Drosophila melanogaster: one gene and its partner. The protein of the gene in region 2 interacts with the protein of the main gene of each other region in a pairwise test. Each region holds a gene or a part of one and is shown on either strand. Other genes may lie near its edges.

Region 1 (16,907 bases), on a different chromosome or scaffold from region 2:
GATCTGGTTGCTGCCCGAAACTGGTAAGGGTAATTATGTATATTAAAAAATTACTTTCTAAATGTGATATTCTTACAGAACGGAATTCACGCCGCGTGGGACTGGAACTGGTGTTTTGGCTTATATTAAAGATAGCCAACTCCGCCTCGATTGCAGTGCTAACCACCTGTACCAGTGAGATTGTGTCCAAGGAGAAGCGGGTGGTCCTTATGCTTTCCGTGATCTCATTTAGCCGCGTGTGCCTGCTTTTCTGCCCTTTTCTAAGCTGTCTCACTGTCATCCACCACCTGGTCCCCATCACCATCCTGGCCACCATGGGCTGGATTTACGGCTTGGCCCTGCGCCGCCTGAACCGCTACTACTGGAACACGGAGCAGCCCCAAATCAGTCAGGTGCCCACGCCCAACACCTATCGTCGCCAGTCGGCCATCATCCTGCGCCGATGCAGCACTGTGAGTTCCGATTGCAGTGCCTACAGCAATGAGCTTCTCAGCAACTTTGAGCGAAACATGGCAGTTAGCATAGCCGATATATGGCACATCAATTTCCATCCCTCCAGCGAGATCGAGATGGAAGTGGAACAGAGTGGTCCGGAAGCTCACAGAGCACACAGCTCGGAAACCATTTGAACAGCTTTCGCGTAGCCCGAAAGTAGGCTTTGATCGATCTTAAGATATTAAGTCATTTGTATAAAGTGTACACTCAATTATTTGGTGATTATTAAAATAAATGTTATATTATCTATTATACTTCTGATTTATGTATTATTTTTCCGCTTTATATATCTTTTAAAAATATTATTGCGAGTGAGCGGTGTAGAGAATTTTCGTAATAGTAAACACACCCCCTTTTAAGCATATTATACGAGATGATCCAAAGACCAGATGTTTAACAAATTTCGCCACAAAATTAAAGTTAAACGCAAAGTTGATCATTTCACGTCATATATTGCTAATTTAATTGTTTATTTTATTTCCAGTTTAGAGTCGGCAGAAAGGTCTTAATTAGCAAGCGGTGAGCAACAAATTAGTCCAAATGAAACTGATTTACTTACTTATGATAATAAAATTGTGATGTAGATCCTGGAAGGAAGATTTTATGTTGAAATACAGATAACATTAAGAGTATAGTATTAATCTATAGCTCGATATTAATGTAGGTTAATGAAGAGCACCACAATCGATGTGTCACTAGGAGCGCTAAAAAAAGCGACCCAGACAATAAAGATTAAAATAGAAATCCGTTGAAGAATTTGTACAAGCCCGAATGGCAAACGGCGATAACGTAAAGTAATAATGTTATGGCTCCCAAGCCATAAACCCTCCTCACCTGAGATAATGCACACTCGATAGGGGTAAGCTCAAACTAATAACATAAAGAGCATTGAAAGACACCCTATCGATCTGTCGTCAGCTATTCAATAAAATTAAATATTTAATAGGCAAACAAGGAAAAAATGTCTCAATAAGCTAACTAAAATCCCGGCTGCGTCAAATACTTTATGAACTCTAAAAAAAACAATTGAAACTAAAGAGAAATGCTCGAAAAACGAACCCGTTCAATAACTTTTTATTATTTGAGCAAATTCATTAAGTAAATTAACGCCTCGAGTTTCCGAGTGGACAGCCAGTCGGCTCACTCCCTGTCTATAGCGCCCAGTGCGACATTGGCGTCAGTTGCCATTTGATTCTCGGCCGATTGGGACGCGTGTGCTCCAAGAATCCAATAAGAAAAATCGAGCTGAGACGTGCAAATCGGAAAGCTGCCTTTTACGTACGGGGATACGCGGCGTGTATAGTTTTTTATTGTCGTTTAATTAATTTAAATTAATTTGTATGAAATCAAACGAACAAAAAGCAAAGAGACATTGTGAGAAATAAATTGAATTCCGAAATATTTGGCTGTTTGAGGACTCAACATCGTGATCGAACCCTTGATAAACCAAAAAGTGATATTGTGCTTTATAAAGGTCGGTTTATAGATCGGTTTAAAGCTCTTAAACCAACATTACTATGCTATATTACTATATTGATTTTATAACTAGCATTTATTGATTACCTCGTAAGAGTGCATTATCGTGTTGCAGTTTTTTGCATTAAATATTAAATACGCCGTGCACGTAATCTAACAAATGCACAGTGCACTTAATCATAATCTTGTCAAAAGTCGAGCATTCCATTAATTTGAAACGAGTAACGCCTCTCCAGTGGCTCAGTTTTCCTGCCCCATAAGCAATTATTAATTTGCATTTGGGCTCGAATCGAAACAAGTCGATCTGATAGAAAGACCTACCTCCACTGTCCACATGCTCAGCTGTATATCAAATGTATTGTAGAATAGGAAATTCGAATATCTAGCACCGGCACGACCAGTTTTCAGCAATTAGCACTGCCTGGAATATTAGAAATTAAAATATTTGCACTACCAATAGGTGGACAGACTGGAGGTGGGACCAATTGTGAGCCAGACAATCGCCAATTAGCACCTGTGAAACTGAAGCATAAAGAGTCTGTCAATACAGATGATCCAACAAAGCGAATCTGTCGCGAATTAACAACTAAATCTTTCGCCATATTTGCCCTCGACAAATAAGGGCTAGCAAACAGATAAAGTCGCGGAATGAAATGATCATTATCTGTTGCTTCTGCCTTATCGACCAAACTACGGTCAGTCGTGATTCGAGATATGATATCAGTGACAGAATAAAGCAAGCCAGAACCTCGAACTGGTTGAAGTTAATCAAGAGCTTAGCTAATTTATTAATGAGAACAATTAAACGAGATTACAGATTTATTGGAAATGAAAAATGATCTTATTAGTAGACACAATGGTGTAACAAGTATAGGGTTTTAGGAAAGTTTAAAATTATATTTAATTTATGAATTTCGCCCAGGTGTTTATTTATGACATTTACTTGTCAATGCAATAATGAAAGTCAGTCAAGTGAAAAGTAACCGCAGATATTTCAACAATCTCTCGTGATATTCAATGCCTTGTTTGACTGATTTCATCAGTAAACCGCTTTCAATTTACTTCAATTGGGATGGAAGGGTATTGGCATGAAAGAAATAAAGCAAATAAATAAATGGGATGTTCGTTTGCAGAATGTTTCACTAAATAGAAGCCATGGTCAATCCATCGCCCGCCCGAGGTGGAGAATCCACTGCCCCCCACATCCTCCCCAATGAGATGGAGAATGACGTGGACAAGAGAATAGCGACGCCACCTCCAGCACCAGCCGGTAGCGATGTCATCGCCGATGTTGTGGGCGACTTTGGCATCTGGCAGCTGAGAACCATTCTCATCATCTTCCTGTGCAAAATCCCTGCCGCCTGGTTCATGGCCTGCATCATCTTCACCGGACCGGAACTTTATCCCGGCTCGGAGTTCACCTGCGACACCAGTTATTTGACTAGCAGCAGCAACTCCAGTTTTAGTATTTCGGATAACCAGTGCTATGTCCTGGACGAGTCCACTGGCACCAGCTCCGAGTGCGAGCAGTTCAACTACGTATCCAGTTTCGACTCCCTGATCATGCAGTTCAATCTGGTCTGCTTGAGGGACATCTTCGTGGCCTGGACTCAGTACTGGCATTTGTTCGGAGTTCTTGTAGGCGGCGTTATGGGCACCAAGATGATGCTGGGCATCAGCCCGAGGAGCACCTATTGTGTCGGTGCTGTAGCCCAGATTTTGTGTGGAGTAGTCACTGGATATGCTAGGGATTTTAGTCTGCACTGCGCCTTCCGTTGTCTCTCCGCTGTCTGTTGTGCGATCATGTTCACAGCTGGTCAAGCCATATGTAAGTGGATTTGGTAGTACACTTATACCTATTCAGTATAAATATTTATAATGAAATCCAATCTGCCAGTTGCCGATATCACGGCGGGAATGCATCGCATTGGTGCCATTATCCTATACGACACTTTCTGGTCCATTGGTGTGATTCTGTTGCCAGGACTCTCCTCGTTCTTCAACAGCTGGTCCCTGATATATGTGGGCATCACATTCCCCACTATCATGCTGATCTTGCTGCTCTACTGGACTCCGGATTCACCTCGCTGGCTGCTCCGGCACGCTGCGGATCGGTTTTCCATTGACAATGTGGAACAGATCTTGCGTGAGGGAGCGGCGATCAATGATCGCTCGTTCAAGATCCCTCCGGATTTCCGACAGCAGCTGGAGCAACTAAGTGAGCGCTTGAAGGCCCAACCCCCACCAGCTCCTTGGACGGAGTTGTGGAAGGGAAAGCGGGCCAAGACCCACATGGTAGCTGCCCACTTGGCATTGGCCTTTTTCGTCATCAACTTTATGGGGATGCTGCTCAACATAAGATCATTTGGAAGGGACTATCTGGTACCGAACACTATTGCCATGGGTGAGTTGGGCGTTCTTGGTATCTTCATAAATCAAGAGAACTTTAGCAACTTGCTATCGATCTAATATCGATCTAAACAAAATGGCCTTCAAACTCTTTGTTGTACAATATATCAATACTTAAATCCAAAAAACTCTTTATTCATAATGTAAAAACCATTCTATTCCCTGCAGGATTTTCGGAAATCATTGGCTGCTTCCTGGCGCTGCACTTTACACTCAAGCACAACAAGTGGAAGTGGCAATGTGCTGGGGTCTTTAATATATTAGCTGGAATCCTCGGATGCATGGGCTGGATCTTCACCAATGCGGACTCAAGTAAGTTAATTTTAATAACTTCGTGAATGCAATATATGGACTATGGTTATTCTTTAGTGGATGCTGATCTAAAAGTGAGCCTCTGGATGATCATCGCCACCATTCCCAAGGCGGCTGTTTCGTGTGCCCAATCGATGATCCTGGCCTGCATGAACGAACTGATGCCGGCGAACAAGAAGCAGCTTTTCGTCTTCTCCGTGGTCACCTGGGCCCGAGTGTGGCTCCTCTCAGCGCCGTTCTTCAATGTCCTACGGAAGATCGACACTGCCATGTCGCTGACTTCGTATTGTGTATTTAGTATTCTTGGCGGAATCTGCACCAGCCTGCTCCTCACGCCCAGATTAAGTGTGTCCCCGGTAGTGCCACACTTGGAGCAGAGAAACACGAAGGAGCAGTCTCCATTGAACGCCCCAGTTTGGACCGTCGAATCCGATGTGAACAATACTCGATTGTAGCCCAAGACGACAGCCTATTTTTGCCAATTAATAGTCTTTGTATTAGTCAGCTAATGAAAAAACATTCTTCTGTGATTAGGATAAGTGAATTGTTATTTTAAATGCTTGCAGTTTTACTAAAGAATATTTGTGGAGTTTAGTGGGTGAAACCACTGAATAAATTTTACTTATGATATATATCTTGTAACTTATCCCACTTAAACTAATGTCCTAGCACTTGGTAACAATCAAAAAAGCGCTGAAAATATTCTGCTTTTATTTTATTTAATAGCCGATAACAATGATATGAAACAACACGTTTTTCAGTATTTTTTATCGCTCAGAATTTTGTTAATGTTGTATTTTTCAAATTCCGTCAATTTCACGCTTCTCTGGATCTAAACTAAAAGATCTCTTCCGGCTCGCGGTTTTCTCAGAATTCGATTGCAGACTAAGGAGACGCATTATTTCCATCTGACTCATTGTATCCCTCCAATCTAGGCTCTCCTTTTCCTTCTTTTCGTTGTCAAGATCCTTCGGCTGTTCCATAGCCGTGTTTTGCTTTTCCGGAATACTAACTAACAAATAGTACTATACGATAGGTGGCAAGTGACATTTAAGGCAATGCATCTCTAAATTGACAGTGACAATGCTAAAACGTGGATGAAATTTTATTTTGCCTTTTCGATTTGGTGGATCAACATTTGTAAGAATTCCTTGATGGCTATCTTCTGGACTACGAGATTACAAGAGTAAGCTTCGAATTAATGAGGTCCTTTCCAAGACGTAGTAATTCAAGTTTGTAAGAATTCCTTGATGATTTTGATCCCGAGCTTATAAAAATTTTAGTTTAGGAATATTGGAACCAATGAGAACTATGGGAAGACATCGACAACCCCAGGCGAATGGACGGCATCCTGCAGCATCCCAATGAGCAAGAATATACATAATTCGAATCATCACGGAACATATGATGAAATGGATTCCCTTAAGGTGGCGGTATGCTGCTGAGTGACCAAAGAAGTTCATTGCTAACCAATGGCGAGAAACTTTGACCCCATTACGAGAACACAATCCTTGATCACCTCATTGTATAAATCGTTTCCCTGACAGGTGCCTTCACCGACTCCCGCTAGAACAGATTATACACTGCCTATGGTGTATACTTTGTGTTAGCGGGTGTCGGAGAAGCCACCAGTCAGGGAACGATTTATACAATGAGATGGGCAAGATCTTAAATAGTGATTCCGCTCTTATGGATGGCATTTGACCATTAAAAAGAAAGTTATACTCAAAATCTAAGCGCATAAAAGAGAACTAGTGAGACTGGAACTTATATTATAAATAAATATTTAAAACAACTCCTTTTACACTCATTATTAATTTACCTGCTTATCGCTAAACACTCAAAATCTACTTGACTAAAATGAAATATAGACAAGCATCATGTAGAACATCAAATGCAGAAATATCCAGAACCAATAAATCCTGTAAGAAATTAAATACTTTAATGTAATTTTTTTGAGTCCAAAGATGCTTTACAATATGGAACGGGACTCTCCTTATCCCCATAAAAGGAAAATTTGAACAACAATCCTATTCTGAGCTGGATACTAAGACGGAAATAATAAACGAACGACTCACCTGGTCACCATAAACTTGTTTGAGTCAACGGTGAACTTCTCGCGGTGCAGGTACTTGTTGATCCCAATCATGTGACGCCGCACATACTCGTCATAGTCCATCTCCTCCAGATTCCAGTAGAGAGTGGGATATGTACCATTCTCAATCATTTCCTTGAAATAGAAACGGCTCTTGTTCTTGAAGATCCACTCGTTCAGCGAAAAAAAGCTACCTGTGGGCAGTTCAATGAACGATTGCATTTGCTAAAGATGTTTCATAAAGATACCTGCTAGGCAAGCCTGTCGGAATTTCTTGGCAATTGGTGTCACCAGTCGCTTCTTTTGGGCCAACAGCAGGGTTTGCAGATCCATTAGCAAGGCGGGCACAAAGTGAAGAACCCATACAGCCAACTCGTGGTTAAAAGCACTGCACCTATACTTGAAGTTGGGAAACATAATCATCCGCCGGGTGGGATAGATACGAGACCACTTCATTGTTAGCTCGCCAAGATGCTGCCAGGTGATGGGATTGGTCACTCCGGAAGTGGCGTTACAGATGCTCAAGCTTTGGAATATCAGCATGAGAACTAACATGATAAGTATAAGGAGTATTTATTATCCACTTACCTTCCCAATTTCGCCTTGCCGACCATCATGATCATGGCATTGACCACAAAGTCCACTGGGATGATGTCACATATAAGATCCTTGTTCCCTAGGATGCTGCTGATGCCGCCCTTGCCAATTTCCATCATAATACCGCTGATGGCCTGGATATTGTCAATCCATCCGGGATAGGGCTCCCTGTACGCAGCAGTGACTATCGAAGGCCTCACTATCACTATGGGAATCACATCCTTGTATGCATTAACAATCTGCTCGGCAATGGATTTGGTGAAGGTGTAGGTGTTGACATGCGGACCCTTTATATAATCGGCCAGGCGATTCAGATAGTCGTCGGGTATTTTCTGGGTGGCAGAAAGAAACTGTCGCCAATCTACCGGCGGCATGGTGGGGTACACTTGCTCATCAACATACTTGCGACCCGGATTGCAGTAGGCCGTCGAGACGTACAGAAAACTCTAGAGATTTTACCCATTACTTAGCAGTAAAGATAAACTCTACGGACTGGAGCTCCTTACCCTTAGATAAGGCATCTGCCTGCAGAGCTCTAGAAGATTGTAGGTGGCCTGTGAATTTACGCGAGCCGACACTTTTAGACACTCATTGAATCGTACCTGGAATTTGATGAATCAAACAATCAGTGTGAAAAATCTTGGGGAATCCCCCTCGGACTCACTGTTGCTGCACTGTGGAAAATAATGTTGACCTCGGCACACAACACCGATCTGTCGGACTCATTTAAACCTGTTGGTGGAAAAGTCTGGTGAAGTCATGAGTTTTCATTTAAAGTTTCTCTGAAAAGCCATACCTAAGTTGTCGTCCTCAATGTTGCCAGAGAAGTGAAAGATTTTCTTCAGCTGCGTTGGATGCTCCGATTTTATGCGTTCGAAAATGGGATTCTGAAGGAATCCGCGAAATCGTTCCTCTACTGTGACTCCGCCCTTAGGTCGGATGAGCATGTAGATCCGCTTGATCTGCGGAAAACTCCAGAGCAGCTTCTCCAGCAGCGACTTGCCCACAAAGCCAGTTGCTCCTATTAAAGTTAACCATCTTTGAACAGTCTCTTTTGGAGATCGCGTCTGTATTACCCGTTATGAAGACCACAGCATCTTGGTAAATATCCGTCTGGTGCTCCACAGTACTCACTTCGGCGTTGTCCATGGTGTGGCCACTTTGAAGCCACGATAGCTACTGATCCGGTGAGCTACTCACTTTCAACGCCTAACTGGCTTGGCAAAAGAAATGCCTTGGTCCTCCCGAAACAAGTTTTTCGTGAAAATGCAAGTGGAACATGCAATTGGCCAACGAAAATAGCAACTCAGACGTAACATTTGAGCACAAACATATTACATCATATTTCGATGGGGATGTGGACAACACTAGACCTTCGTTAATGATCATTGAAGAAGTCATGAAGTGGGAGTCCATACCATTGGCTAAGAGTTCTAGGCCATTTTCAATAATTCAAAAGCCATGAACTTGAAAACTCCGGAGTAGATAAGTATTATATCTATTATATAAAATATGGCGATACCATTAAATTAAATGTATCCACAGCTGCGAAGCTTTCCAATCAGTTCGAATTCCGATGTTGTTTACCTGTCCAATTCATTAGCTTCAATCATGTCAATTGCCCGCCACCGCGATCGGATTCCCCGGCTAGATCCTCCCATAAATCCGTAAGATCGCCGCGAAAATAGATCGCAACTTGTCGGCCAAAATGTTTGCACAATCGGTTAGGAACGTTGCTCCGCTTATTTGGAATGATTTGATTAGCGACGACGTCGTAGGCAGGCACCGCAAACCGGAGCCCTCGAGTTTACCTGCCCAGGTGAGGTGCTAAGCGAAGTCGCAGTCATGCTGGAGGGTCGGCACTCCCAAGACGTGGTAACTAAATTTGGCAGCTAACTAAGAATGAAGAAGGATAATCTTTATCGAGGCTGGATGCCCAATATACGCCGAAACTCACCTGCTCCTTTGGACTTGGGCCACATGGCGCATAGCTTCACCTGCACCGATCCGAAGGCCAACGAGGTATCTCCTCAAACTCCACACCCGAAAGCAAATAATCTAGCAGATGACAACGATGACGATGTCATCACACACATCATGGGGAACTTTGGGCCCTGGCAACTGCGCTCCCTGCTCATCCTATTTCTCTGCAAGATTCCAGCCGCCTGGTTCATGGCCTGCATCCTGTTCACAGCGCCGGATCTGTACCCCGAGGAGGAGTACAAGTGTGATACGACGGCTTTCGGGCCGGATGTCAACTCCACCGTCTCGCTGGACCACTGCTATGTGATGGTTAACTACGGAGAGTCCGCCTACGCCATGCGCCAGTGTCGAAAGTTCCTCTACACCACGGGTTTCCACTCCCTGACCATGGAGTTCGATTTGGTGTGTCTGTGCGACTTCTTTGTGGCCTGGTCTCAGTACTGGCACCTCTTTGGCCTCCTAATCGGTGGCGTGGCGGCCACCAAGTTGATGCGGGTCCTGAGTCCCCGACAGATTTATAGAACTGGCATCTGGTGCCTGCTCATGTGCAGCCTACTGATGGGTCTTGTCAAAGACTTCAGTCTGCACTGTGGACTCCGATGCCTGGCTGCTGTTTCGTGCTGTTTTATGATCACCTCGGGGCAGTATATATGTAAGTAAAATTGAATATTTAAGAATACTTTAATATTAAATAACCTACTTTTCAGTTGGTGACATAACAGCGGGAAAATATCGCGTAGGAACCCTCATACTTTACGACTGCTTCTGGGCTCTGGGCTTGATTCTGCTCCCTGGCTTGGCCTCCAATGCTCCCAGCTGGCAGCACATATACTTGGGCGTAACTCTTTCCTTGCTGGTGATTGTCTTTCTGCTACCCTGGACTCCGGACTCACCGCGCTGGCAGCTGCAACACACCAAGGAAGCTCAACTGGCCATCGAGCGAACGGTGGGTATCCTGCTGGAAGCAGCCCGTACCAATGGTAGAATGCACAAAGTGTCCAAGGAGTTACCCCAGCAGTTGGAGGAGCTGAGAGAAAGGATGCTGGAGCCAATGCCCGCCGTGCATTGGATGCACTTGTGGATGGGCCAGCGTAGGAGTACTTTCCACTTGGTGGCCGTGCACATGGCACTTGCCACCTTCATGGTGGTCAACACTGGGCTGCTGCTCCATGTGCGGTCCTTTGGCAGGGAGCACCTGGTGTCCAACACACTGGCCATGGGCCTGGCCGAGATGCTTGGCTGCTTCCTGGCCCTACACCTGACCTTCAACCTGAGTGAACGCAAGTGGCAGTGGGCGGGGGGATTTGCCATCGTGGTCGGTTGCATCGGTAGCATCTGTTGGTTCCTGGCCGAGGAGGATATGCCCGAGGTGTATGGACTGACGCTGGGCTTGCTAATGGCATCACTTCCCCAGGCGGCCGTAGCCTGCGCCCAGTCCATGATTTTGGCCTGCCTGGGCGAACTGGTGCCAATGGAGCAGCGTAGTTGCCTCTCCTTCTCCGCCGTCACGTGGGCGCGGGTGTGGCAGCTCTCCGCCTCTTTTCTCACGCTGCTCAGGCAGGTGAGCCCCGCCCTCTCCCTGTCCGCCTTCTGTCTGCTGGTCATCCTGGGCGGCCTTGGCACATGTTGCCTGGTCACGCGGGACAAGGAGCAGCCACCGGTCGGAGCTGTGGTAAACAAGGGACAGCAACTTATTGCGTTCACGTAATAACGTATACTTAATATATGTCTGGGCGTATTTGATAAGTTAGTTGTAGTGTGTGTCAAGTATTCGCGAACAGTATTCGAATTTAGCTCATTAAACATTCGCTTATCGCGAATCGAATATGTATATTGGGTTGCATACTTTTGGGAATAAATCAAAAGTTCGGCATCTACACGTAGTTTGTTTAAAATGTAAAGCTTACATTAGATCAATGCAAAACTATTATAAACTATTTGGCAGAATAAGGCATTAAATAAATTAAAACTGGTTTGCATGATATTTAAATAAGCTTTCAGGAACCAGAGCCATTTGGGACCAATGTAAACCCACAAACACCAACCCTACCGGCGACCACCTTCATCCACCAAGTTGACACACATTTCGTGTGACTGGTATAATAAGTACACATGCCCGGCTAAATATCCAAGCGCATTGCTCCACTAACAACATATTTCTATTTGGTCACCTGTCCCACCATTCCCACCCAGCCAGAGCGACAAGCAGAAATCGCAAATCAATAAAATGGAAACCATAAAATTGCCAGAAGCGGCGCCACGCCAATTGGCACCACAAAGTTTGTGTCATTTGCGGAGCAGCAGTTGGCGAGGAAGCACCAGGCGGAGAGCACTTCCAGGACCAACTCCAATCAAATGCAGTGCTGTGCAGGCTGACCGACCAACTGCTGCTATCTGGATGCAATGAAGCCGAAGAAATCGGCCTTTGCCAATTCATCCACGGGATACGGCAGGAACAAGCACGGTAAAGGACACTCTGGCAAGGATAAAGTCGAGGGTGGTGGTAAGGGCAAGAGCCGAGACGAGAAGGATAAGCATAAGCATGAGCAGAAGGTGGACGAGAAGGATGACAAGGATCTAAATTCCGGCTTCGGCGACTATCTTCGCACTCCGGAGGGTCTGTAATTTTCGCTCCTTAAAAATATATAGTTCATTTAACTAATAAATATTACCCCTTTCCAATAGCATTTGAAATGATGAAACTCTTTGTCTTCGCCAATACCATAATGCTAATTGTCACCATGGCCTGGCCGCACATCAAGGAGCAATTCTACATGGTTAATCAATGGCTTGAAAGCTTCCGCGAGGAGCATCAGCAGTAGAAACCAAAGGATCTATCGAACAAATAAGTAAATCAAGTGGAAGCATACAATATGGTCGGTCCATTCATGCAGGGCCTATTCTTGATTGGCATCATCTACTGGTATTCCAAGGGGATGATGTCCATGATCAACGACTACTACAGAAGTGAGTTCCAGCGAAAGTTGCAGACGGAACCAGCAAAGACGAGGGCAGAGACACCCATCAATGTGGACAACTTTATGGATTATGTTAGGGAGCTGGACACTCCGGACGAGGTGGCTAGAATTCCGGCGGAAGGAACTGAATCTCCGCCCATGGGAAACACCTATTGCCACATCCTTCGACGATTCTTGGAGATTACCGGCACTCTACCACCATTCGATGTTTGCCTAGTTACGAGCAACATAAGATAGCCCATCCTATAATTAATTATATATGGTATCAATTATACTTAGTGTGTTTTATATGAGTTTCGTAGAATAAAATATCTTACTAACCGTATTGCATACTTAATTGTCTTGCTCTCTACATTCGAATTCTACATTGTATCCCACCATTATGAACAACAATAGAAATATTTATCCAACTTGTGGTTTTCAGCTTTTTTATTTAAATGTTTGCAGAATATATTCGTGTGTCTCCAGCATTAGCTCACTTACTAACCTATTCACAAAACTTTATAAACATACTAATCTCTATAAATATCATGGAATATATATCGATTTGGTCTGTAAGTAAGCTCTATTCAATCCAGATCTGGTCATTGCTAGTTTGCATCTGAAGCATCTCGTGAAAAATAGTTATATGGAGATATAAAGTAGTTAGGTATTTGACTTGGAAGTTATGCCATTTGGTTTATAATAAGTGCTGTCTACAAATCGCTTGTGTTCAGGTATTCGTTTTGTGGCACAAAGTGTAGAGTTTTGAAGATACCACAAAGCTGAAGATATCTTAAGTATCATTTGATTTAAGGAGGTCAGTATGTGATTAAGAGCTAGGTATTACCAATTTCATAAGAGATCCACATTCTAACATACACTACGCGCACCCACTCTTTAGCCAATTTCGTAAAATTAACTTCACAAACAATAAAATACAAAGACAAATGCCTCTCGGGCAAAATCATATTTATCTTTTTATGTATATTTTATATACACAACAGTTTATCATACATAATTTTATTATAAAATAAAAATAATAATAATTGCATTACAAATTAATAAAGCAAAGATACAAAGTAAAGTACATCGCGCAGCGAAATGATAATTCAATGAAAATGTACTTCGTGAGTTGAATAATACATTGGAATTTTCTGTAATTTCTGTAATTTAATCGAAATCATAACTTTTAATAAAAGGAAATCACAATGTCTTTCGTTGGAGAAGTTAACAAAACGTACTCAAGAGCAATGCAAAAAATTAAGGAAACACAAAACCTTTCTGAAGTATCACAACCTTTCAAACAAGGATTAACAATTGAGAGCTGGCTTGGGCTAACAAATCGAATTTCGACAATTGATTTATGGTGGCCTACTAAAGACTATATATGCATACATATACGTTATGGATATCGCGTGATATTGTTATATATGGCTAAACACGTACAAATTAGATTGCTTATGAACAAGGCAAAAATACAAATGCATAATACGCAGAGGCTTTTCTCTCTATAATGCACAAAGTCTCCTTACCGCAAGGATCATTTCGAAATATATATATATATTACTGTGCGTTCAAGTCTTAACGAGTAAACAGTAACACCTAATGACTCTGACCACGTTTCCATTGCGCGTCCTCTCTACTCATTCCCCTCTAGTCCGAGGACTTCCAATTTGTGGGCGGTGGCGGCGCTGGCACCGTTGGCCTCTTGGGCGTTTGAAATGAGTTCGGAGAGATGGGTGTCGTGACTTGGGGCTGAGCTTGCTGCTGATTTTGATCTGCAGCCGTAGCAGGCGGATCATGGTTGTGATTGTTTTCCTTTGTCGTCGACGACACCTCTCGCGTTCCGTTTGTCTCGCCGTTCTCCTGACGCAGCTTGTCCAGAAAATGCTCCGTTTTAAATCGCACACTGCCATTGCCATTATCAATTGTTGCCTGAGTGGGCGTGGTACCGCCCTCATCATCGCTCTTTCCATCTGCCTTAGGCACTCCCACGCCCAGCACGGTGGGTCGCTTGGGCAGCAGAGGCTTCTGCGGCACATCTGGCTTCAGCTTGAAGCTGCCAATGCTGTCGGTGCTCTTGCGATCGGCCGTTGGAGAGGGCAGGTTGTCCAGCCCGAAGAACTGTGTCCGCGTCATCGGAACAGGCTTGGCTGGCGTTACAGGCGGCGGAGGCAGTGGTTCCAGCTGCGTCTGCGTCGGCTGACTAGCAGCTGGCGACTGAAACTGCGGCAAATTCGGCAGCGGCGGCTTGGCGGGCTTTTCCTGCTTTTCCGGCGTCTGCTGCGGGAACAGCTCCTTTGCATGTGGTCGGTGCGAAGTCTGTGATGTGGTCATAATTATCCCATTTCCATTGGTGGTAGGAGGCGAAGGTGCATTAGCTTTTTGTCTGCGCAATGTACCATAGCGTGGACTCTCCATGACTTCTATAAATGGAAATGGATCGTTAAATATGATATGAGCTTTATTATTAATACGTTATAAAACGATATATCTTTTATTAGACTTTTTTTTTAAAAGCATTTAATTTAAAATCGAATAAGCCAATGTACAAGAACTTTAAAATTTCAAACGAGTCAAAAGATTTGGTATAAGTTAAATAAAATGTAAAATAGTTATTCCAATGACACCATGAACTTCCAAAAGTACAATACTAAATTTGGTTCCAATCCATTTTATTAAACAAAATATTGCCACTAATATTGCACTTTAACAGCTTCTAGGTACGTAAAGAAACATTTAGAAAAATATAAAAAATATAAGGCACAGGAAAATACTAAGCGTGGAATTGTTAAAAATATAAGAGGAAAAAGTCGTCATAGGTCGAATACTGTATAGTGGCCCGTTTCATAGATGCCCGACTGTGTAGTATGCTTACCACTGTCGTTTCTATCCAGGTTTTCGTTCGAGGAGTTAGATTTGCTCTTGCCCTCGACGAAGAGCTTTTGCTTCTGCAGGGTCAAGTAGAACTCGACTTCGCCGATGAAAAAGTAGTCCCACTGGCTGATTAGCAGCTCAACAATGATGTTGGCTGCCGAGGAGCTGTTCACCTGACCAATGTAGTCGGCCGGAGCGTTGCTGCTCTTGTCGATGCGTGGCCACAGCATGTTCGGTGACATCACGATGGCCAGGTTCTGCGAGCTCATCTTGTTGAGCGCCGAGCGCTGCTGCACGATGGACAGGAAGCGGGTGAGGTAGCGCAGGTTCGCGTAGTTCTCCTTTGGCAGCTTGGTCAGAATGGCCTTAATCTCTGTCTTGCGCTCGGCCTCGCTGTGCCTCTCAGCGATCCGGATGAAGTCCTTGTACAGGTTGTAAGTGAGCAGCGGCTCGGGCAGCTCACGCAAGTACAGCTTGAGTATGGAACCAATGACATGTGGATCCTGGTAGTCCAGCGGAAGCGGTGTCTTTACATGCTGCGCCTCCAGGGCGTGCTTCATACGCCGCAGTTTCGTGCTCGCGCAGCCCACTCGCAGCAGACCCTCTTCCTCCAGGCCGTGCTCTAACAGACAGCAGCAGCACAGCTCCACTATGTAGGAGATCTCGCGGTTTGTGGATGTCAGATGCTCCTTGAGCGAGGTGCCAAAGCGGGACTTCTCTGTGCCCTGGATAGTGTCCTGGATGCGGGCCAGCGAGGCGTTTACGTGCTGCAGGGCGCGCTCGTGATAGTTTCTTTGGTTGAGTACATAGTCGCGGATGCAGCTAACGATCTCGTCCTCTTTGGCAATCAGCTCCAGCATCTGGGCCGCCCAGGCATCCCGCTCCTTTTCCAGCTTCAGCTCGCACTCCTCCTGCTGGCTCTTGATGTGGTTAACCTTGGCCGCTGGTTCCTCCAGACGGATTGCCGCCTGCGAGAATAAAGCAAAACACCGATTAGCCCATGTCAGATAAGAACCAATGTCACGGACATCGTCACATTTTGAAAGGAGCAAAGTTCAAGCGCCAAAGTATCTTATCTCAAAATAGTTTTCCGAATGACTCATGGAAGATGCCTGTAGAGGAAAGTTTTGCGGCTCATTTAAAAATAGATCGACCTCTACCGCAGCCCAGCCAGCTGTTACCGCTCTCATCACGGACTTTGTTTTGAGTTCACCCACTTCCGACAATAGGTCTCATTCGGGATACAGAACACACATGCGCCGCTGCATTGGGGCCACTGACTGCGGTGACTAGATCATGCAATTCTCCTGCTCTACAAAGGCTGATAAGAAACGCAATTGAGCTTCGTAAAATACTTTCATCAAGAGTGAAAGAGAAAGGGCCTTATCAATAACAACAACAAAAAACAAACAATGTATTTCCTACTTTAATCACAAAAGCATATAGCAAGACTGTCAATTGGCAAGTTTCGATGATATAAAAATGTATTTTTTTTTTAAATAATTTATAATCACACTGCCTTTGCGGAGTTTTTCCCCGCTAACGGACAAAACAAAGATTCTTTGAGTGAAGTAATCCAGCGTTGAGCGTAAAAAATAAACAAAGTTCCCGCTTATGATGTAAGTTTTGCTTACTACAGCATTACCCCTTGTGCGCAAACAAACTGGTGGTGGCATTCATCGCCCTATCCCATAGCTCCCGTT
Region 2 (15,943 bases):
TTTGGCTGCTTTGCGAGCCTTGTTCGAGTGAGCCTGCAGAGTCGATCAAATCAAATCAGTTATGAATATTATGTGAGTCAAAGAACCCAAGTGATTAGATGCCGGCTGCCACTGAGTCCGTGAAACGCGACCTTTGACTTGCGATGCCGATTCCAGCCGAAATCTACGGATTCTTCCGAAGATGCCGGAACACCCACTTCACTCACACCCGTACCCACCATGTTGCGTGGCTACTGCGAGAATCTCAGGCGGTTGCTGTGCGCATTACAGGAGGAGTCTGTTCCAGGTTCATTCGCCTGCTTGAAGCAACAGTAAATGAAAACAATATAAATAAACAAAAAATAATCGACGTCGTAGCCCTGAAACTAAATCATCGAGGGAGAGCTGCCACCTTTTTTTTTACTAAATTTGAATTAGACAAGATGCGTTTCTTAATAATGATCTAGCGTGGCTTAGTTTTGCTTTTTAATCATAATTAATTTGTTTACAAAAAAAAAATTAACACTATGTTAAAAAAAAAATTATAAATTTATAATGGCGGTCAGCGTGCGACATTTCTTCGCCGTAGGATTAGTGAAGCAGGAATCTGAGTCCGTTAAACGGAGGACGCGCCGTAATCCTCTCCGCCACCAAGCGCTCCCCGTGAACAGTCATGCCGCAGCGCACCTTCTTGGCATGCAGAAAGTTCAGATCGGCGGCTCGCTCTCCACTTTTGAGCGGCAACCAGCCGTACACCTGCGACTCCAGGAGCGGAACAGCTTTTCCGAGCTGCCTCTGACGCTCCACATGCTTCTCAGGCCAAGTGTGCCGTAGGTACCTCAAGGTATCCGTCGGCTGGCGTTGCTCATACTGGGCGTAGAACTTCCGTGTTAGCGGATGAACTGGAAGGCAGGAGAAGATATTATTAGCAGTAGTGAACAATTTTGTAAACTATTGTAAAACTTTCAATGATTAAAGTTTTATTTTTACAGGAGCGCTACGATGCAACAAGCTTGTCCTCAAACATGATATACCGAGCTAACCAGAAATCTCTAGCATACCTTGGCTCACTGGAACAAAGGTTTCGTAAAGTCGGATGTGCCGGTTAGATCTATGGATCAGCTCCTTTTCGAAGTCGTAGGGCAGCGGTCGGGGATCCCCCTCGCGATGATCCAGTGCGTCGCCATTCTCCTCGACCTCGTCGGTGGTTTCGAGTCCCGGTTTCATGCTCCTGCACGTCTACTATTTTGAGCCCCGAAGGAGAGCTCTGTTTACGGAAATCCAGGCAATCCGTCCGCAACGCGTGGCGTGCTCGGTTCGTTTGACTGGCTGCGGACTGCGCTGCATCAAGGACACCTACCCCCCACAATCCCCTTGCCTGCCGCTCACTGCCTGCCTGGCTGTCTTTTCGTTTTGGCAGCAACTTGTACTCATTAAAGTTTTCCTATTGTTGCTGCATGGCAGGCAACGTTACCAATACTGTACACGCATCCCCACGACGCAGCCCACGGGGCCCAAGGAGTTGCTGCTCCCAACTCCCGGGGGTGTCGATGGCAGTGGTGTGACCCACAATCACAGTTTCACCAACGTCAGAGGCGCCTGTCGGGCGAATTTCCCCAGCAGGTGCTGTGGGCTGTCCGCGATGTATGCGATTGGCTCAAGAGAAAGTAAAAGGACGTCAGCCAGTGATGAGACGGATCACTGGTTATATTCAAGATTGGAATTGGTTGAAGTATAACCAAGTGTACCGAAGGCGAAAGTCATCGATTGGTTGGAACTGGAACTTATCTCGCCTATTTTAAGGCTAACTACTACATTGTAAACAATAGGAGCTTACTATACCTTCGCATCACTGCTTCCAGCACCCAAGGGCTGGCTCCATTCATGTCGTTGGCGTAATTTAGTACAAGCCCAAAACCCAAATCCCTGAAGTAAACAGCAATATCCGAAAATAAACCCATTCGAGCGATTGCCTTTGCGTGTCCAAACAATCGCAGCCACAAAATTATCTAGAGGCAGAGGAGCAGGTGGCCACCACATCCGGCACTTGGCCGCCGCGATTCTCAACATTTGCTTCGGGTTGTGCAACTCTCTCGATTCGTCGTAAATTTTAGCCTAATCGAATCTAATTGAATACATAAATACGGAAATAAATCAATTTAATTACAATACAGCCAACAACAGTCATCGCAAATAGTTTACACGCACACAAGCACTCGAACCATTATTATTACAGATATAAATTTGTTTAAGCCTTGGTAAGGTATTGAGAAAACCTCAAGAGTTGCGGGTTCATATGCTAATTAAATTAATTGTCGGCACAAGTAGGACCACTTAAGGTTCTTTAGCTATACATATTTTTGGAAGTTCTATTATCATATCTTAACTGAGCTTTAAAAAATCGCTGGTAAACATGATTGTACAAGAAGTTGAAATTCCTGGAAATGGTTTGGTAATTGCATACATATGTACGTACATATATGTACATAGCTTACAATTTAAACGATAGAAAAGTACAAAGTACAGCACTGCAAATATCATGATCGGCAACATATCAGAAAACCGTTAGAGGTGATGGTTCTCTTTCGTTATCTAAGTTCCCCTCCTCTCGCGCTGTCTTCATCTTGTACTTTCGCGCTTGCCGCTTTGGCTTAGCGCTCTGTCCTTTTCGCTCTGCAATTGAGTCGCTCATTGTCATGCGCGCATCGACGCCGAACTTTGCTAAAAAAAAAAAAATATACCATGATCGTTCGAAATCGTTACCAGAAAAAACGTCTTTTAATTTTGCAAAAATAAGTTAATAAAAGGGCCCAACAGCCCACTTTTCAATCGCCATCGGAAATAGAGCAGTTGGGAATAAAATCTGCGTGAGACTTATCTATGTGGTTGCCCAGTCACCAGAGCGAATACCCCTAAGTAACTAAATACATACATATCTATCTACAGATCAGTCGTGTTGGTCGGTGAGGTGATTGCGAGCTTACAGCGCTTCCGGATAAAAGTCCCGATAGGCGAATCCCTCAATGTACTCCGGCCGGTGGCAGGCGAACAGATGGTGGGGTAACTCCTTGCGGGCGTACTTCTCCAGTGCCTTGCGCGTATTTTCCTGGAGCACGGCCTCGTCAAATTTGACCCGCTGCACCGTGGTCTTCCGAAGGATGGTCTGCACCAACTGCGACCACACGCAGCCGGACTCCTCTTCACCCAATCCGGAGCCGTTTTCGGCAAGCTTTCCTTTTTGAATTTGTGTCGACTGCTTCTCTTCCTGGCTCGGCTCCGGCTGCTGTGCAGGCGCCGCCATCTGGGCTTTGGTTTGAGTGTAGACTGTGGACGCATCTGCGGCCTGAGAGTCGGTAGTGGCCTCTTTCCTTTTGGGTGGCGGAATGTCCTGCATGAGCGTCTGCAATCGATCAACTGTCTCCGCCATTCGTTTCCGAAAGTCCACTATTCGACGGGCGTAGCTGAAGAGGGCTCGCTCCTCCGCCAACTTTAATGGCCTTTTACGTGCTTCCTCACTTAGTTCTCCGTCTTCCAAAAGTGGGTGAATGCGAACACCGGCCTCCGAAGTGCCACTGAGGTAGATTCGGATAGCAAATTCCTGCATGGCCGAAGTATTGACCATGGCTATGGCATAGGCATTACGTGCTTTTAGAATAACTTCTCTTATATGAGCCAACTGGGGCGAGGAGGTATTGGACACTCTTGTTTCGAGATCTTGTAGATCCATATGCTCCAAGTGAGCCGACTTATCCAGGCTGTCCAACACCTCTGTCAAATGGCTAGGTATCCGGTCACCGTCCGCCGGAAAGGTTAGCAAACCTAATCCTTGAATCACTCGGATGTTGGCCACATATTGCTGCTGCAGTTCGTACAGCTGCCAAAGGGTCCTCATTCGAGACTCATACTCTTTCTGGGCGCCTGTGCCCAATACACTACTCATATTAGTATCGTACAGTTGCAAGCCCCGTATAAAGGCTACATCCATGGTATAGTTGCCCATGAAGGTCTTTACATAGTTAAGAGCCTCGGAGGCGCTTGCGAAACTCTCCCGTCGCTGAGCAAAGAATTCATCCAAATCGCTGACTGTCAACTGGTTTCGTGCCACCACGTTTCTGTGCAGGCTCTCGTTTAGCTCCCGCTCCTCGCGTATCTGCTCGAAGTTGCTTACTAACAGATCGCCGGCGGGCTGTTGAAATTCGTCGAACACCTCAATATCTACGGCCATGGTAGTGCTTGTGCCGGATTGCTCGCGTTCCTGCTCTTTTTCAGAGTCCTGCGCCTGCACACTCTCATCCTCTTTATTAAAGAACTCGTTGTTCTCTGGGTGACACTGCGGCACCCACTGTTCCTGAACAGCTACCTGCCGCTTTTTGCTCCTCTCTAATATCGCCCGTGGACTAAACCGCTGTAGATCCAGAGAGGTGTAGATGTCCTCGTTGTGGGCGTGGCAACAGTGGAGGGCTGACATGTCCATGGGATGAGCCTCTGTGTTGAAGATGTACGCACCGGCCTGTACCACGCATACATCATCCTCGGTTGACAGCAGCTCGCCTCCGGACCCATCGTTGTGCAGGAAGTTTTCCTCGTCAAACAGCAGATAAAGGTACTTGCTTGTTTCCGCCAGGAAGAATGACTCCATGCGATTCTCCTTTTCGTGGGTGACAACATTGCGAATCTGGAAAATAATGCAAGTATATATTAATTAATTTTAAGTTCTTAAAAAGCTTGTTCACAGAACTTCTCACCGTTGCATATCCGCATTTGGTTTTGGCACTGAACTCCAAGGTCTCCAGCATGTGCTCACCAAACTCCAGAAGATACTCGTTTCCTGTGGCTCGATAGAGATACATAGCTGACTCGATTAGCTCCGGTCGCAGGGGGTACACCTCCCGATTCGGCGATGCCTCTCCAGCAGCAATGTTATAAAACTCTGGCAGAAAGCCGTACTTCTTCCAGACCCCAATGTACCGTGATATGGTGCGCAAGGCCGGCTCCGTGTCGCCAATAATGCTCAGGATGCCGGGCCAAAACGCCTCCAGGGACTGAAAGACGGGAAGGGTGACGCGGCCTTTGTTCATGCCTACCCACACGTACCAGTCCTCCTTCCGCATGTACTTATCAATGGCCGCGCGAGCCTCATGGAATAACTCCAAGAGTTCTGGGCGATTGAGCAGGACAGATGCCTTAACTAGGTATTCAAAAAGGGAATCCACTCCTGCTCCGATACCAGAGTCGAGGGCGGTCCAACGACCGCTCTGCACGTCGATGTGATTGCCAAAAAGTCCAATGGGCGAGCGATATGCCCATAGAGCATGTACCGCCTTCATAGCAACATCCTCGTAGATGGTTTTCCCGGTCAACCGGCTAAGGGTACCAAATTCGATGAGGAATGTCCCCACGCCCGCCGTACAGGTTATAGAGGTCTCGCCCTTGGGCACGCCATAGCGCAGGTTCACCGTGCCATAAGGCATACCCGTGTTCGTGACGAAGGCTGGCAATAATCGTCGGGCCACATCCTCCGCCAGTCGCAGCAGAGGTCCCTTGCAGGGCCATCCTGGCTCTAGCTCTACGCCAGCACGCTTGGAGAGCAGATGCGCGGACAGCAGCCCGCCCACGATGCGGATGTTTGTCTCGAACACGGACACGTTGATGTCCCTGTCAAAATCCATCTTCTCCTCGAGCAGTCTTGCCGCGCGGCGGAATTCCGTGAAGTTGCCCATGGTGGCCAGCGTGTCCAGAGCGTCGATCAGTGTCAAGGAGTAGCTGCCCCAGGTGTCGTGGCCATCGCAGGTCAGCGGACGCAGTTCATCGTAGTTGGAGGCGTGGCGCAGGTAACCATCGTAGGCGTGCTGGAACATGCGCCGCACATCCTCCCTGCAGATTCATTGCCGGTTAGGATTAGTATGTCCGAGTTTAGCCCTAGCAATGACCCACCTCAGTTCCAACTTTCTTGCCTTGGAATACTGCTTCTGGCCGCTGACACCGGTGGACAGCAGGACGAGGAGGACCGCGCAGATGAGGGTGCCCGGATAGCCGTTGTTTCGGGGTTTTTGCTGCATCGTGGGACAGTCAATCAATCAGGGCCGCTAATTCAATTATGGGCATGGTCAGTGTTCCATAGCCAGCGTGGATGTGGGATGTGTGGAAGTCAAATGCGGCTACGTTGACGCAAAATCACAACAAGGGCTGATTCGGCGGTGGCATCGACCGCCGAATGCCCTACTAATTCCGTTCGGTGAGTGTTTTTTTATAGAGCGCTTAGAGTAGCAAACGGGGGAAAGAACACAAGCCAAAGAGCTTTTTTAAGGTAACAACCAAACACTATAGGCTAGCAAACACTGTATTCTCCGCCAATTCTGAAGTACGTTAATTTTACCCAACAAAATCCCTAGCAATAGGATATGTCATTCCGTAGGGTGCAATCAGCTGTTGCTGATCGAATAACTATCGAAAGGGTGGTCAGATCGAATTTGCATGGTGGTCATTGCTTGTTAAAGGAATACAACAGCTCAGAATAGCCGTAAAATCAGCGCGGCAATATTAAAGTCGGGTTGGAAAAATTAAATGGCAATTTCTTTAAGAATTCAAAAAGTTTGTGATGACAAATATACCGATTGTTTGTCACTGCTTTGCGCGGCACACGTTCCTTTATACTTTTATTCGCGTCGAGTTGGCAGCACATACCAGTTTTTTTTGTGGCCATTCAAAAGTGTGTGTTCGTACGGGTAAAAAGTGATTTAAATTCAAAATATTCAGCGAAACGACCGCCTCCAATAGAAGCAACTGTACCCTATGGTAAGTAACTGCCCTCTGCACCCGTTTCACACCCGGACATCCTCCGGATGAGCTGACCAAGAAATCCGCAGCCTTTGTTACGCTTCCGACTGCGAATTGCAGTTCTGGCGATGGGCAGCGATGTGTTTCGGTTTTGAATCATTCTCCGCGTAAAAAAAACTCAGAAAGAGGGTCGACTATAACCTCGCGGAGTAACTGCATCACGGCCCGTGTGCCTTTTGTACTCCGCGTAAGGCGATCGTTTAAATGCAATCGCGTATGCTTAATTGTCCGTTGGGCGAAAAGTAACAACATTGTGGGTCTATACATGCGGGATTGCCTCTGGCTGACCAGAAACCACATTGAAACCATCCCGTTGACCGTAGATATAAGCGTGTGCCATTTGGGATCTGGAAATCGTGTTTCCACCCAGTTGTTTGCATATTTATAAACAATTAAAGAAAAATATTAAATTTTTTGGTCAGGGCTGTCGCCCCTCGCATGGCATCGATAGAAGAGCGTCCGGAGCTGCGGTTGCAACCCTATCCGCTCACGCAAATCTATCGAAAAATTTTACTCCACGGTCGATTTTCGTTGCTTTTTTTTCACACTCGTGTAAAAAAAAAGGAAATAGCTAAGTAAATCGAAAGTACAGTGCAGTGTTTTGATCCCGTGGAGTGCATGTTCCAGCGGAAAGTGTGTGCAACAAATATGAGCAGTTCGCAAAAGTGGCGAGCAAAAGCAATAACAAAGTAGCAACAGCAACGCAACGTGTGTGTGTTGTAAGCAATCTGTACAGCGGAAAGGTGTTGGTGTGTTGGTGTGCTCGGGGGGTGGTGTGCGTTTCGCCCGTCCCGTGTCCATAAATTAGAATCAAATCGAATCGAAATCGACATTGAAGTCCGCTGCTCCGCCACCGCGATGTCCGTCGACCAGGATCAATAAGCAGCGTCACCACCAGTAGCGGACCATCATTAAGTTCTCCATATCGAGAGCAGGCTGACTCGGAATCGAACTCGGATTCGGAATTGGAATTGGAATTGGCATCGGAATCGGAATCCATAGCGGAGGAATCACGCGCGGCAGCCAGCCCAATACGGAAAACTGCTGAAAAATGTTAGATAAATGCCCAGTTATCTACAATTATTATGGCTTGTCCCTGTGTGCGTGTCCAGGTGTGAGGGTGTGTGTGTTTGTGTGCGATAGCAGAAGCAAAATCCGCTCAAATTGCGATGCCAAATAGTCGGCCAATTAATTGATCTTTCAATTGGCGACATCAGGCGCCCTCCCATATACCCAGCTCCGCACGAAACCCGATATATATCCGCGGATTGAGTCTCTGCTTTTGCCGCACATATGTATTGTATAACCCTTGTTTATCTTTGGACAATCCGAGGTGGAGTGGAGTACAGTGGAGGCTGGCCAAGTTGGACACATGTGCCGATAAGGTGGCGTGTGCTGGAACGAGTGTCCCCTGTAATGCGGTCTTATCTGAAGAGCTTTGCAGGTCACTCCGACTGACAAATTCACCTGCAAGCTAGGAGGGGAAAGCCCTGTGAAGAACTCTCTAACACGATAAAGTCATATTCCTGATTGATACAACTATAACACACAGAAATCACTATCAGACCAGAGAACCAGCTCGCAAGACCCAAGACTGTAGCTATACCAAATAATCTATCCATAAAAATAGGAAGTTCTTATCTTATCACATACTCTAGGTAAAGATTTAAGATGGATCTCTATAAATACTTTTGAATTTACAACCCAATTTGTTATGCTTCTCCTGTAAGTGGCCCAAAAATCGTCAGTTAAGCATATGAAAAGTCTCGACAATGTGGCTGCACTTTGTTCCTTTAATTGTTCTTATATTGTTTACAAATTGCATAAGCTGTAAATGTAAACTTTGCTTAGTTCGATTTCGCTTATTCCCGAAGTCTGTTTAAACATTCAACAGGAAATGAGAAACTGAGCTTGTTTATAAAACGTTAGGCAACATTACCCCTTTTGCCATTCATCTTTTCCATTAAGAACGCCATATAAATTCAGTTTTCAATTTACATCGTACAGCTGTGGGTTGTAGAGCACTATTAGCTGCTAGGAAAGCAGGTTGAATAAAATGATGATGAGAAATCACAGAATTCGAAGGACCTTGGGTGAGTCACTGACTAGCAGCTTTCACTGCACCATCCACGCACTCAAAGCCGACCACAACTGGAGTTCATACACACACAGGGGCCACCATAAATAATTCGCATCCACTAGGTGGAAGTGAGCAAATGTTTACTCAATAACTATTCTTGCAGAGCCCGCAGTCGCAGCAAAGCAACGATTACCAGCGACACGAGCAGGGAGCAGAAGGAAGCCGGCGGAGGAGGAGAAGAAGGAGAGCCACCGCACAGATTGGGTAAAGCGCACCACCATGGTGAGTACCAATCTGGTGGTACCCGTGGTGCTGTGGGGTCCCACCGCGCCCACGCACTGCATCTCTAGCGTGTTCCTCTCGGACGATCAGTTTACCCTGGTCACCGGCTGCTACGATGGACAGATCTGCCTTTGGCAAGTGGAGCCCACCACCCTGAAGATGTCGCCGCGGTGCCTCTTGGTGGGCCATTCGGCGCCCGTTTTGTGCTTAGTGCGTGCCTCGCTTCTGCCGGAGAACAACTTCCTGGTCAGCTCGTCTGAGAACGGAGAGATGTGCACCTGGGATCTTACGGACGGCAAGTGCATGGAGGCGGTCAAGCTTCCACAGGTGCACACCCAAATTCAGAGCTACCACACCGCCAACAGCGAGGATGTGCGCCTCTTTTGCATTGGCTACTATGCTGAAATCATGGTCATGGATCCGTTCAGCCTAGAGGTGATCTACGTGCTCAGCTCAAAGGTCAAACCGGATTGGATATCCGCTATTCACGTACTGCGCCCCATGCGTCGCAAGGATGACGTAGTGTTGGCCATCACCACCACCGGAACCGTGAAGGTCTGGACTCTGACGGGTAACGAGAACAAACACGCGGAGCCCATTTACGAGAACGAATCCAAGGAGATCCGCTGCCTGAATGCCATCACCATGAATTGCTGCGCCCAGAACCAGCGCACAGTGCTCTTAGTTTGTACCAAATACTGGCAGATCTACGATGCCGGCGACTTCACTGTACTCTGCTCCGTAATTGCTCCCGCAAGGGAACGTTGGCAGGGCGGCGACTTCATCACCTCCGACCGGGTAATGCTATGGACAGATGAGGGAAAGGGCTACTTGTACAAGCTGCCCGCAAACTGCATTCCCGACAACAAGGAGTTCCACTCGAAGAGTGTGGTCAGGGATGCACCTTACCTCTACTACGTGTTGCAACACGCCGGTGATAAGGTGCTGTCGTGCCCCCCAGCCATGAAGTTGCTTCAGGGCGCCGGTGGCCAGCACAATCTACTGCGCGGAGACTCCGAGGGATACATCTCTGTCTGGAATGTGCCGGAGGTGCCGTTAGACAATATTAGCATACTGCAGGCCAAACAGATGCCGCCGCGACCCCTCAAGCCGCACGTGTGCACTTCGTTGGTCGAGGCGTGGTCCATAATGGATCCACCACCAGTGGGCATCCTGGATCAGCTCTCCCGCATCACAGAATCGCCGGTGAAGCTCACCTCGAGCATCTATCTGCCACAGCAGAGTCGCCTGGTGATCGGACGCGAGGATGGCAGCATAGTCATAGTGCCAGCCACCCAGACAGTGATGATGCAGCTGCTGGTGGGCATCAAGCAAAACTTCAGCGATTGGCCCTCGCATCAGATCCTCTACGGTCATCGTGGAAGGGTCAATTGCCTGCTCTGCCCCTCGATGATTCACTCGAGATATGAGAAGTCGCATCTACTTTCCGGCGGCATCGATTTCGCCGTGTGTCTGTGGGATCTGTACAGCGGAAGCTTACTGCATAGGTTTTGCGTTCATGCGGGTGAGATCACACAACTGCTGGTGCCGCCAGAGAGCTGTAGTCCAAGAATCCTGAAATGCATATGTTCGGTGGCCTCGGACCATTCCGTTACGCTAGTGTCCCTTCAGGAGCGCAAGTGTGTGACCCTGGCAAGCAGACATCTATTCCCTGTGGTTACCATTAAATGGCGTCCCCTGGACGACTTTCTAATCGTAGGCTGTTCCGATGGCAGCGTGTATGTGTGGCAAATGGAAACGGGTCACCTCGATCGAGTGCTTCACGGGATGCTGGCAGAGGAAGTCCTTTCCGCTTGCGATGAACAGGCGGAGGATGGCGGCTCGGGCGGCGGCGGTGGTTCCAATGGTGCATCTGCCAGCGAGATGGGTATGGCCAATCCGGCAGTGCACTTCTTCCGTGGCCTGAAGTCGCGCAACATGAATGCAATCCGTCATGCTACCCAGCGCGGGATTACGCAACTCCAGCAACTTCAGGGTCATAACCAAGGAAACTTCGACTTTCTGATGAAACACCGCAGCAATCCTTTAGTGATCCAGGGTCTTCGTACTAATCCTAAGGACGCGGAGAGCCACATACTTTTCTTTGACATCGAGGGACTGATCTTCGAATTGCATAGCGAGGAATACGCACAGATGACACCAGCTACCTTGGAATCACTTGGTGTCCACCTGCAGAATCCCAAAGATGGCAAATCGATGCATTTGGATGCTAGCAAGAAGATCGGTGACTTCTTCAACAAGGTGAAGAACAAGGCCGTAGATGTGGAGAAGATCCTGAAGGACAAAGACAAACACGGGCTGGTGCAGAAGTTCAAGGAGAAAACTGAGATTGTCGAGAAGAAAGTACAGGCCAAGGTGGAGAGCCTGCAAAAGGCAGTAGAGCCGCACGAGGAGCAGCAGGACCTGAAGAGCAAAATCGCTTCCAAGATGGAGGTTACGCATGTTATGGAGGTAGCCCAGCTACTTCTTTCGCTGCTCCATTCTTGGGGCCTAGATCCACATCTAGACAAGATGTGCGAGACGCGCTTGGGCCTGCTTAGACCCATTGTGCCCATCTCATACGGAGTGCTTTCCAAGGCCGGCTATATGTCGCTGCTGCTGCCCACATGGCAGAACAACTATGCCATACCACCCGGTATCCAGCTTCCCTCCAGTTCCAAGAAGCGCCCGCTGCCAGAGGAGCTGCAGCGCTTGGAGCATCTCACGGCTGTTTTCACATCCCGTCTGCATTGGGAGCTCAGCACTACGTTGACCACCAACCATATTCTTGCGCTGGTGGCCATGTCCAATACGCTGCTGTCGATGAGTGCGGCCTCCTTTCTGCCGGACAGCGAGAAGCACAAGAAGCTGCAGCGCTTGGCCCAGCGCACGGACTCCACATTGAGCAACGAGGAGGAGCGCGAGGAGCTGATGGCCCACCACATCTCTCAAATCAAGCACGCCTGGAGCCTGCTTGCTACCCACCATTGCTTCCTGTTGCCCGACAAAATTGAGGCCCTGGAGCCGAAGAAATTCAAGCGTCCGCAGGTGGAAATGATGGTCAAGCGCTGGCAGCATCACTGCATAGAGATCAGGGAGGCGGCTCAGCAGATCCTTTTGGGCGAGCTTACCCGGATGGGCAAGAAGGGTCGCAAGCAGCTAGTCGAGAGCTGGGCACAATATCTGCCACTCTACACGCACACCGAGCCCATAGTGGGAGCCCAACAGCAGTTGGCCTTGATAAGTCAGCCGGCAAGCGGAGGAGCTGGCTCGGGATCGGGCGGCAATGGAGGGGTGGGCGTCGGAGTATCCGGAGGCGGTGGTGCTGGTAGTGGTAGCGGGCCAGGTGGCAGCGTTCCTGGGGGAGATGCCCACCAAGATGAAGACTACGAAGAGGAAGAGGAGGAGATTATACGCAAACCATCCAGCTTGTCGGAGCTGAAGCGCAAACAAACTACGGCAGTTATCCTACTGGGTGTAATAGGAGCAGAATTTGGCCAGGATATATCCCAGGAGTCACCGAATCACCGTGGAAGTATTAGCATGGCCACGGGAGCAAATCTAACCAGTGGAGTTGCTGGCGGGGAACGTCGAAAATCTAGTGTCGTGGAGGGCTTCGGCATAGCCAACAATCTAGCCCGTCTTACTTCAATGGCCCTGGCTCACTTGCTGTACGCGCCACCATCTCCCAAGCTGCCGCAATACACGCCACTGCGCCGGGCAGCCATCGATCTGTTGGGTCGTGGATTCACCGTTTGGGAGCCGTACCTGGATGTGTCCAAGGTGCTTCTTGGTTTGCTGGAGATATCGTGCGAGGGCAAAGCAGTGCCAAATCTGAACTACAAACTTCCACTAACCCCGCAAGCGGATGCCTGCCGAACCGCCAGGCATGCTCTGCGCTTGATAGCCACCGCTCGGCCGGCGGCGTTCATCACTACGATGGCGCGCGAGGTAGCCAGGTACAATACGATGCAGCAGAACGCGCAGTCCATCAACACGCCGCTCACCCAGTCCGTTCTGCACAAGGCCAAGGGCGAGATTCTGCAGTGCGTTGAGATGCTAATCGACAAAATGCAGTCGGAGATCGCCGGCCTCCTGGTGGAAGTTATGGACATTGCCCTGCACTGCGTGGACGGCAACGAGCTGAAGAACCGCGGCCTGGCGGAGCTGTGTCCTGCCATCTGCAAGTTTAACCAGATCTCGCACTGCGCCCAAACACGCCGCATCGCCGTGGGCGCCAACAGTGGCAACCTGGCCATTTACGAGCTGCGCCAGAACAAGTGCCAGATGATCCCGGCCCACACGCATCCGATCACCTCGCTGGCCTTCTCGCCGGATGGCAAGTACCTGGTCTCGTACTCTTGCGCAGAGAACCGCCTCTCCTTCTGGCAGACCTCAACGGGGATGTTCGGACTGGGCCAGTCGCAGACGCGCTGTACGAAGGGCTACTCTACGGCACCCATTCCGGATGTGTCGCGCCTGAATCCGATGCGCCTGGCCAAGCTTGTGTGGATCAACAATCGCACGGTGACCCTCATGCTGGCCGACGGCTCCGAGACGCGATTCAATGTCTAAGGTGAAGGAGCAATGATAATGGACTAGTGAATCTTGCGGGATGTATAGCATGTTATTAGGCAATCAGTGCGGACTTCAGAGCAGCGCTTCGGAGGAGCAGAACAAGGAGGACGACTCGGCGGTGGAGTAGGAGGAGCTGGAAGAGCTGCGGGGAGCTGGAGGAGCAGAAGCGACAAAACAATAATTATTCGAAAATAAAAGTGCGGTAATGTATGGCGTTTCGTGAGTAGTTAAGGTAATGGAAACGAAAAAAAGCTTAGCAAAATTAAGACAAAACGAAAATGAAAGCATAGCTAGGGCAAACGGGAAGCTAAGCGAAGTTAGTTCAAGCGAAAATTCACAACACATTTTGTTATTTATTTATATACTTACCCTATATATCTGTATCTGTATCTGTATCTAATCCGTATCTGTATGTATTTTAATGTATTACACGATTTTAATATGTCTCTTATTCGCCCCTCTGCGTTCTTTTTAATTTTTAGTGCCTAACTTTTACCCATACTCTTAGAACACGTATTTCTGTTTCTGTTTCTGTTTCTGTTTGTCGTTAATTTCCAATGCGGAAAAACTAATAACTAAATCCAAATCCAAATATTAACAAATTAAACAACAATTAACCAGATATGCAAGCAAACACAACTACACGAGAAAAGCAAAGGAAATGAAAAACGAAAAAAAAAAACAAAGAATGAAAAGCTGTTATTATTATTACTCAACTATTATTATTACTATTGTATGCTACTATTATTATTATTATTATTATTGATATTTGTTATGCCTAATGTATTGTTATATATATATACCTAAAATAAACCTAAACAAATGTATTGAGCAAGTAATGAAGCGAAGGCCAAGCAACCAGAGTTTCCTCGAACGAGGATTAAACAACTAGTGAGCGAAGGGGTTTTTTTTTTAACTACATTATAACCATTGTAACTCCCATATATCTGATTCTTTCGATGTTATATTTATGCTTAAGCCTGTGTAAAAAGTCATATTGTCCTGTGAAGTTGTTTGGGCATCCTGTTCACAAAATGCATGCCACAAAACACACACACACAGTTCATTTGCGGCGTTAATGTTAATTGTGCATCGAACAGATGGCGGTATTTGGAGCCTGGGAAGCCGGCCAGCCAGCCAGCCAGCGTCCTGGTCAACTGGTAACCGGGCGACAGAAGTGCCTGCAGCTGTACGGGAGAACTACTTATCCTAACTATAGATATAATAATGCATACATATATACCCAACTGAATTTGCAATATGTGTTCGTTTACGTATCCAATACAACACAGCAAACACACGGGTGAGAGAGTTAATTGAATTGTGCTTAATTTCAATTGCAAATGATATATATTCATATATATATGGGGACACGAGCATACTTATATACGAGATCCTTCAATCAAAGTATTACACAAACAAAAGGAACGAAGCAACTATAACAATTATGTACGGAGTATACAACAAATAAAGTCAAGAAACATCTGCAAATTTTGCCTCCCTGTGCTTTCGATTGGTGGGGGCAACGCTTCCGTTGGAGCGCATCTGGCATTGTGGGGAAGCCCTGTTGTCGAGCCTAGATAACACGGTTATAGTCGCCCAGATTCTCACCTGATAAACTGTGCTCCTTGAATTTCAGCTTACCGGCCGTCCAGTGAGAATGTCCGTTGCAGTAAACCAAAAAGGCTGGGGTAAGAAGGCAGGAGCTTCCGTATCCGACTCCGCAATTCGTACACAGTCCGCCCTCAGCGAGGGGGGTGGGGCCATTGACGTCCGGCCGATGGAGCACGACGAGGAAATCAATCGCGAAGATCTCAACCTCGACGAGGACGATGAGATGGAGGAGGAGGAGGAGGAGGAGCACGCCGACGAAGAGGACGATGACGAGGAGCCGGATAGCAACGAGAACAGCGCACCGGAGGAGCAAGTAGAGCCGCCGGCCTTCAGCCTAGCGACGCTGGGACTCCAACGCGTGGGCAGCGCACCGCCGCCCAAGCCCAAAGTCCAGAAGGCCCCAATCCCGACCCTAAATGCCCGTGGAATGCCTGCTCGGATACGAAAGAGAAATCGTCTCTTTTATGACGAGAACATCATCAACGATGACAAGCCGCTGCGCATGAGCTTGGCACCCAAGAAGACGCCTGGCAGACCACCGCAGTCTGCCGGCGGTGGCTCTAGCCAGAAGAT

The links.
Region 1: the proteins of CG32801 (region 2) and CG4770 interact in a two-hybrid assay, tested with the Drosophila melanogaster proteins (one large-scale study listed by BioGRID).

What each region holds. Positions count from the first base shown.
Region 1 is NT_033777.3:19,910,158-19,927,064, reverse strand, and holds CG4770 (uncharacterized protein), read right to left. Parts: upstream 8,559-16,907; 5' UTR 8,534-8,558; coding exon 8,461-8,533; intron 8,406-8,460; coding exon 8,181-8,405; intron 8,117-8,180; coding exon 8,049-8,116; intron 7,987-8,048; coding exon 7,891-7,986; intron 7,831-7,890; coding exon 7,376-7,830; intron 7,314-7,375; coding exon 7,036-7,313; intron 6,982-7,035; coding exon 6,771-6,981; intron 6,615-6,770; coding exon 6,548-6,614; 3' UTR 6,481-6,547; downstream 1-6,480. Other genes in the region: CG4459 (uncharacterized protein), read left to right, coding at 1-23, 79-629; CG4462 (uncharacterized protein), read left to right, coding at 3,127-3,799, 3,869-4,375, 4,549-4,692, 4,750-5,147; CG4465 (uncharacterized protein), read left to right, coding at 9,287-10,019, 10,075-11,075; Xport-A (exit protein of rhodopsin and TRP A), read left to right, coding at 11,771-11,984, 12,053-12,189; Xport-B (exit protein of rhodopsin and TRP B), read left to right, coding at 12,241-12,582; RhoGAP92B (Rho GTPase activating protein at 92B), read right to left, coding at 13,981-14,753, 15,206-16,172.
Region 2 is NC_004354.4:1,901,582-1,917,524, forward strand, and holds CG32801 (uncharacterized protein), read right to left. Parts: upstream 1,597-15,943; 5' UTR 1,207-1,596; coding exon 1,041-1,206; exon of another isoform or gene 958-1,040; intron 911-957; exon of another isoform or gene 882-910; coding exon 571-881; 3' UTR 501-570; downstream 1-500. Other genes in the region: Ldaf1 (lipid droplet assembly factor 1), read right to left, coding at 1-33, 132-221; Edem1 (ER degradation enhancer, mannosidase alpha-like 1), read right to left, coding at 2,631-2,700, 2,964-4,654, 4,725-5,853, 5,914-6,038; mip130 (Myb-interacting protein 130), read left to right, coding at 6,772-6,774, 15,396-15,943; Rbcn-3B (Rabconnectin-3B), read left to right, coding at 9,176-13,753.